2 linked regions of the Xenopus tropicalis genome follow. The protein of the gene in region 1 interacts with the protein of each later gene in a biochemical or structural test. Links are inferred from orthologs where the notes say so. Each region holds a gene or a part of one and is shown on either strand. Other genes may lie near its edges.

Evidence for each region.
Region 2: the proteins of mapk10 (region 1) and mapk8ip3 form a complex in vitro, tested with the Homo sapiens proteins (3 studies listed by BioGRID, with this or other methods). The link is inferred for Xenopus tropicalis from reciprocal best matches to the Homo sapiens genes MAPK10 and MAPK8IP3.

The regions. Positions count from the first base shown.
Region 1 is NC_030677.2:87,177,588-87,181,909, forward strand, and holds the start of mapk10 (mitogen-activated protein kinase 10), read right to left. Parts: upstream 3,124-4,322; 5' UTR 2,787-3,123; coding exon of another isoform or gene 2,784-2,786; intron 1-2,783. UniProt on the Homo sapiens protein: Serine/threonine-protein kinase involved in various processes such as neuronal proliferation, differentiation, migration and programmed cell death.
Region 2 is NC_030685.2:22,605,703-22,609,528, reverse strand, and holds part of mapk8ip3 (C-Jun-amino-terminal kinase-interacting protein 3), read right to left. Parts: intron 2,510-3,826; coding exon 2,453-2,509; intron 2,105-2,452; coding exon 1,934-2,104; intron 1,264-1,933; coding exon 1,104-1,263; intron 451-1,103; coding exon 355-450; intron 1-354.

The sequences.
Region 1 (4,322 bases):
ACCCTTTTGCTCTTTATTATTAAGCCAAGCACGAAATCTATAAGGAATATACATTGATATATATTTGTATGTATATATTTATACAGCAAGAAGAGGATCCACACTCAGAGGACTTATGAAGAAAAAATGTTGTTTATTCAAGCAGACTGACATTTTGGCTAACACACTAGCGGCTAGTATGTTAGACGAAACGTCAGTCTGCTTGAATAAATACCATTTTTTCTTCATAAGTCCTCTCAGTGCGGATCCTCTTCTTGCTGCATCTTCTAATCTACTTGGACCTGTACCCAGGATGCTGTACCTTCCTAGTAGACGTGAGTGCCGGCATCTTTATGGACAAATATTATATATATATATATAAAGATTTTGTGTTGTTTTTCCCTTTTGAAGCCCATAGCCAGCAAGAAAAGCATTTCTTTGGTTCAGTGCTTTGGAAACCCTTTGATGACATACCAGCCAGTTTGGCAACAATACGAATACATTACAAAAGACACTGCCCACACCCAGAGTCATCCTGTAAGCAAGAAATTGTCAATAGATTTCAGTATATATTGGTCGTACACTGAGCTTTTGAGTCTATGGAATATGTAAGCTTTCTGCATAAGGCTCAGGTGTCAAAGTTCACTTAGGCCCCATCAAATCCATTTCTGTTCTTTTATATTCAAGTACTTATTTCCACTGGGAAAAATGTGAGTCAGACTGACATTTTAATGCACTGAATTTTAAATGGACTAATATTTCACTTGTATCTGGATGCATTTTTGCTGTCAAAACAAAACAATGGGGGGGGGATAATCTTCTAAGGAATGAATAACCATACTGTACATGGCTGTGCAGATTCGTTCCATGAAAGTGCCAAGTCCAGACACATTTGTCACGCTGCTGAGGTTGCAGCAGAATCCTCATGCAAGCAATGGGAACAACAATGGCATTGCCATTACATTTTGGCAGCTGTCATTTTCACTGGGAGCTCTGCAGATTAACATTTTAATAAGAGGAAAGGAAAAGACAGAGGAAGGGCTATCGAAAAATTAGGCTGCCTAGAAAAAATGAAAGCACTATCATAATGAATGGCTGCTGTTTCAGCTACAACAGTACAGTGCAGATCTGCACCAAGCATACACCAGGATATATTCATGTGGGTAAAAAAAGGTTCCTATCTTCATTTTATTCTAAAACCTGAACTACATGAAATAAAACAAGACTGTGTTCTATCTTGAGAGAAATTAACACACAATACATAGATTTACTGGTGTCTTTGAGGGAAAAAAATCTGTAAATAGCAGCAATAGGCAGCTGCAGCATGTTTACTTGAGGGAAAATAAATGAGAACAGCTTAGAGGTTTATTGAGGTCAGCACTTTTTTGGCATTTCACTGTGTGCTGCAGAGAATACAAAGCCATAGTAATGAAGTATGTGGATAGTTAATGCTGCACTCTTCACATAAAGCTGAACTGTCAAATCACTGCAGCTAACGGTCTTCTGTACCAAAACCAGCTACAGGAAAGGCCTGCACAACAATGCATTTTGTCTAATAATTACCAGTGCAAACCTGCAAAATGTAAAGCTTACTCATGTAATTCATTAACATTTTCCTACTCATACTAAGTTCACAAGTCTATATAAAACATCAAATACTGTTTTTACTTGCATTTTAATAGAGATCCCATACAGCAATGGTTTTAAGCCTCTAACCTTGTTTACCAAAGAAAAACCACAGAGAACTGATACTGCAGAGCAGCCATGCTTACACAATTCCAGAAAATCTGGAATATATAAAAGCAAACTCTGCGCAAGCAATCTTTTGTCTACATGCTATACTATAAACTACAAAAGAAATTATTTTAGTAACTTATTTAGAGTTTTCCAAAGCCCAAATATTTCAAAACGCTGACTAAGCTATAAATAATTATCCTGCTGAAAAATGTACCTTTTACATACATAGTTTCTAGCAAATGATCGAAACCATTAATAAAACACATAGGAAAGTATAATTGGTAATATTTAGGATCTTTAGGACTTTAGTCATTAATTAGGCTTCTAATGTATGGTCTTTAGAAATGCAACTTCCATAAACAGGGTACCTGAGAATAATGGGAATTGTAATTGTAAAGCAGCTAGAGCTTGCTCTAAACAAAACCTGTATCCACAAATGTGTATTTGAACACAAACCTTGCTTAATTTATTTTTTTTAAAAACTGCTTAGGGAAAGCTGGTTCTGTTGGAATCACAGTGCTAAAAAAAATGATTAAAGCCTAATCACACCTTTTTTGTGCATAATCTATTAAAATATAAATGGTAAGAATAGGTTTCGATTATATGTTCCAGTAAGGCCATTTTTTCCATTCCCTGTTGTCAATGCATAGACAAAGGTATGTGTGTTGTGGATGGCATATAGACACAGCAATCAAAATATAGTCCCCTTAGCCTGTATATGAGGAGCAGAACAGGGCTGCATTAGTGCACCCTGGCACCTACTGTTTTAGCACTCACTGCTTCTACACTGGCCCTTCATCCTGCTACATGAACTGAGAGGAGAATTAACATAACCAGTTAGGCATTGTGTCAATCCCACTGCCCTATGACATGAATATGGTTTTTGCAATAACCTCCCACCATTTATATATTTGGCAGTAGTCCATACAAGCACCGCACCCAATATATTCAGAATTTACACACAATATTCTTCCCAGAATTTAAACAGAAAACAATGGTAATTGTATTTTTAGAAAGGAATAAACCTGCATTAATAACAGCAGCATACCGAGACTAGGGCTACTCACCATTCCGTGCCTGCACTGCAACAATTCACATCCACAGTGGCTCCTCCAAAGATAGCAATTCTATGTGGCTTTTTTTGACCCCGTTCCAAAATACATGTGTATTGGTTAGATTAAACGATGCCCATGAATGGGGTAGTATAGGAAATAAGAATAAAAAACAAATTTCTTATAAATATAGGAGGAAATTAACTTAATTCTTTGTATAATGTTTTAATAATAAAAATAAACAAAAAAAGAAATAGAAAGTGAAAAAGGGAGTGATGGAAAAGAACAGACGGGCTTGCTGAATCACCTTCTTTCACTGCCTGGAAAGCATTGTGCACAGTGATGCTGCCTGTACCATTGTGAAAGCTACGACAGGAGATAGGCAAGAGGGGTTTAGGGAATGGAGTCGCTATGGCAACTAAAAGGAGCATGCATGACGTCAAAGTACAGAGAGGTCTCAGGGGGTGAGATGGGTGGGGGAGAAGAAAAAAAACACATAGGAGGAGGGAAGAACGGATTTAATCTGCAGTCACGGCTATCTTTTCTGTGAATCAGAGGCTGCTGGGAGGAAATGACAGGCAAACAAGGAAGAACCACGGAAAGCAGTCTCTTCAAACATCACAGAGACTACCCTTTGTAGAGAACTGGACTCTACCACCTGAAAGAAACGTGACGCTCCTCTTTGCAGCGAAATATTAAATATTTTGTCACAGACAAAATGTGTGTTACAGATATATGTAGCTAAAGATTACACACTATGATATGTATAAGGTATTTAATGAGGGGGGTGGGGTTGTTTAAATGACCAACTGTGCATTATTACAGCAGCATCCGGGGCCCTCTCAGACAGGCAAGGTCATAGCTGGTTCTGGTGATGCTTACAAAAGACTCACTGTGCTGGGATGGACGTGGTATCCTCACCAATTTAGTTCTATGGAGCAGGTTTCTTCTGAAAGGACCATGATCAAAAAATTTTTATGTTGTTTTTTTTGTGCATTTACACTGACAGAAATTAAGGATGATTAATATCATCCATATTAATAAAAGTTGCTAGATAAATAAAATGCACATTTAAGCCAGTGTAACCATTATTTGGCTATAAAATAGGCAAAACCCAGGCTAGTATGGTTTTAGAGCACGGGGACCATGAAACTCTCACACGGGATGGGCCTTCGCTATATAAAAGAGACCATGCGGAGCAAGGGTGTAGTGGACTACAACTCACTGTAGCTGTGTGCAGTGCAGTCTAGCAAAGATGGACGCCAGAAGGTTCTTGCAGTTGAACTATAGACAGGTCAGGTTGAACTATAGACACTGCCTTGCTAAACACTATATTGGAGTGCAAGGGGTGTGATCAACCAAATAAACCAATAGGCACAATATGTAAATGGTAAACTAAATACAGTAAATGGCCCAGTAACAGCAGAAATAAGGAAGTGGTAAGCTCTAAAGCCAGATTAACCCTATGGGTCCCTACACCAGCTTATTCACTGTGCACTTGAGCATCTTCTACCTTTTACAATTACTCCAAATTTGCCTAAAGCTTTTGGTACT
Region 2 (3,826 bases), on another chromosome or scaffold:
TACACACTGCCACCCACAGCCCTCCGATTGTGTCACCGTTCCCTAACGAGTAGTCAGAATGGCAGTGGCCTTGCATTTCAAGGGGCTGTGGTTGGGTGAAAAGGGCCCTAATGGAACTCTTTAATGCAAACATTTTTTAGAAATACCAAATAAACACGCAATGGACACGGATACAGAATTCAAGGACAACAGTGTGAGAGCCAACAGCACTCAATTATTTTGTTTTTGTTATTGATATGTTATTGCTTTTTGCAGTGTAAAGCAAGATAACTAAAAATGCTGTGTAATTATATACGTGTTGTCTCTTTGCCTTTACAGGAAATAAGTACTCCCGGGGGACTGGCAGATTCTTACCTTCATGGTGGGATCTTTCTCTACCAGTGGCCTGCAGTAAACTGGGACTGGCACATTCTTCATGCGGTTATCCTCCTGTCCTCCATTTGGACTAAGCTGTCAGAGTTAACACATTTATTTGAATAAAATCAATATGTAAAACTGTTAGTTGCAGTTGGTCTTTTTTTGAGTGTGTTTTTTTTACTTATTTAGGTTCTCCTAAGCAAAATATTTAATATTTATATAATTCTGTTACTGAACTCTTTCTTGGGAGATACAATGCAATACGATGCAGATACGATGCAATTAATCTCCATGTTTGACACAACCATAATAAATTGATGTAAAAAACACAACTAGTTATGTACATACACAGACATAATGTATAGGTATGGGATCGGTTATCTGGAAACCCGAATTAGGGGAAGGCCATCCCCCATATTTGATTTGGTTATGTTAATCAAATAATTCAAAATAATTTCCTTTTTCTCTATAATAATAAAACAGTATCTTGTACCTGATCTCAACCAAGATTCATTCATACTTATTGGAGGCAAAACAATCCTATTGGGGTTCATTCACGGTATGGTGATCCAAATTACAGACCCCTTATCCAGGAAACCCCAGGTCCCAAGCATTTCGGATAACAGGTCCCATACCTGTACTTACAAGGCCCAACTATAGATCAACTATAGTTTTAATATATATAAAATAGATCAGGGAAATCACTAATCTAGTTCACAGATTCTATGATCCCTTGAGCTACCAACCTGCTTATATTTGGCAGGTAGGCTCCACCCACAGGCTTGGAGGCGCCCATCGTCATTGCGCACATGCTCCCGCACTTGGCGGTACTGCTCGCGCTTCTGCTCCCGGCGAGCCGTAGATGTGCAGTCGCTGAGGAGAGAAGCTACAGTGTTACTCCTCAATCTAAGGGAAAAGAAAAAGATGCGGCAGAGCGTCAGGGGAGAGAGCAGAAAGCAAAGCAGCAAGGGTTAAAGGCATCTAGTGAGCAAGAAGGCAAGCATGGGGAGGGCAAATGCAAGGTAGCATAGGAGGGGGCTGTATGTACCATAATCAGGGGTACATTTAATTCTATCCAAGGAAGTGGTGAATCTCATTCAATTTGTCGAACTGGATGTGATACAATGTGCAATGTGTCCCAGAACCTGGGAGTTTTTTTGTAACCCTGTGGCTAAAAATTCTAGTCAGTGGGACACGTAGTTATTAGTGTGTTAGACAGGCACCTCTACCCAGGCCTGGACTGGGAATCTGTGTGTTATGGCAAATGCCAAAGGGGCTGCTGTAAGTAGCCATAGACAGTCACTATTTATTGGGCTGGTAACACATGAAGGCCCAAACAGTGCTTGGAATGCCAGGGCCTATTTTGAATCCCAGTCTGCACCTGCCTCTACCAATAGATGGAAACATCAAGACATTGGAAAAACATTAATATGCATTCACCTATCATCATTGACTAGTCGTGAACAACCAAAGCCATGGATTTTCTACACAACTAAAAAATACTTAATAATCAGAATTTATTTATAGTTTTATGTTGTGTCTTTGTACACTCTTTCAAGCACAATGCTTGACTTACTCATCTGGGAAGAACTCAATGGTGCGCCCCCCAGAGGAGATCTGGCACATGGTGTGGCTGCGGCGCTGGCTGAATCCCGCAGGCGTGGGAGACTTGTAGTGGATATTGACAGATGGGTAAGTCCTCTTGGGAGGTGGTGGGCTGGATGAAGAGCTGAAAAGCCTGCTGAAGCTGAAAGAAAATAGGCAACATTACACAGCTATGAGGAGCCACTGTGCATTCTATATTAGTGGTTCATTTGTGGTCATAGACAGTTAAGATCTTCCTGGGCAACTGATGTGATGATATAACAGAAACCTCTTATTGCCAATATCTCAATTCATAGAAAATGACTGAGAGTTAATCTGTGCACTCAACATGCCAAGCTTGACTTAATATACAGTGAATTTGTTGGGTCAAATACATTGTGATAAAGACAATATCAGGGATAGTAAGGAACTTATAAATGGCACCCAGTCAAAGGCTGCCTGATCTATCTGTCAAAGTGTATGATGGAAATACAAGTACAGGCAAACCTACAATTGCCAAATGGTTGACTTCTTCTTCTCCTGGACTGAAGGGTGCTCCCTGGAGGCTCTGCAAAAGGAAAAAAGATGGATTTTTGTGTTAGTAAAGCTCTAATCATGCTAAACAATGGAACGTTAGTGAAGGCTTTGGATCATAGAAGAGGATTTTCCTGGGGATCTTACACTCTGCCAAAGTGCAATTTCGAGCTCAATCTTCAAGTTTTTTCTGCAGAAATAGGGGTTTTGCCCAGAATTCCAGTGTAATTTCAGTCACAAGGGGGCAAAGTGCCTGATGCAATTGCATCTTATTCAGCAAAATGAAAGCAACAATGCATGTTTTTCAACACAAATCAGACTCTTTCACATGGAAGTCCATCTCCCATCATTTCCAAAAATAAAACCGAACCAGTGATTGTCCACTTTTAGTGGGAGTCCACCTCTGAGTTAAGGCTTGTACCCTCAAGCGTCCCTTTCTGCTTTTCCCTGGAGTGCATTCCTCTGCATTCTACCACAGGGGAGCGCAGGAAGGAACGCACCCTATTCTTCTCAATATGCCCGTACTCACACTGGTCCATGAAAGTGCCAAACGCAGGTGGGACTCTTGGATGTTGCTCTCAGTTCCTCCAAACCAGGTAGTTGTTTTTGAATTCCTGGCTTAATGGCAAGTTTTGGTTGAATAAAAACAAGATTTACTACCAAATAAAGCCCCCTGTAAGCTGTTAGTGTGCATAGAGGCTGCCTAATAGCCAATCTTAGCCCGTATTTGGCACCTCCATGAACTTTTATGATGCTTGTGTTGCTCTCCAAATTTTTTTACATTTTGACTGTGTGTCTATGAAGATTCTTATTCATCCAGGTGCATTTAAACCCTTGAGGGTAGTAAAGTCACAGGCATCCAATCTTAATGGTTCCATTAAACTTATTCAGTTAGCTGTTGGCTGAAACTGACAGGTGTAAGAAGGTATGATCCAGTCACAATGGTACCATGATTCTCAATGATTGATTGATTGATTCTCATAATTTTACTGCGGTTCACCGGTAAAAAAGGTTGGGGAACCCTGATTTAGAGAGTAATATTATGAAACACTTTGCAATTGGTCCTCATTTTTCATTATATGTAGTTGTGTAATTATTTTGTTTTTTGTTCAATAACTTTCCAGTCTGGAATTTCAGCGTGGTTTGATTGAGAGACTAGAAATAGAAAAACAAGTAATAAAAAGTAGCAATAACAAATAAGTTGCAGACTCACAGAGCAATAGTTTTTTAGCTGCTGAGTCATTCCAACATTGGAAAAAGTGAAAAGAAGAAGGCAAATAATTCAAAAACTCTAAAAAATAAATAATGAGGACCAACTGAAAAGTTGCTTAGAATTGGCCATTCTATAAAA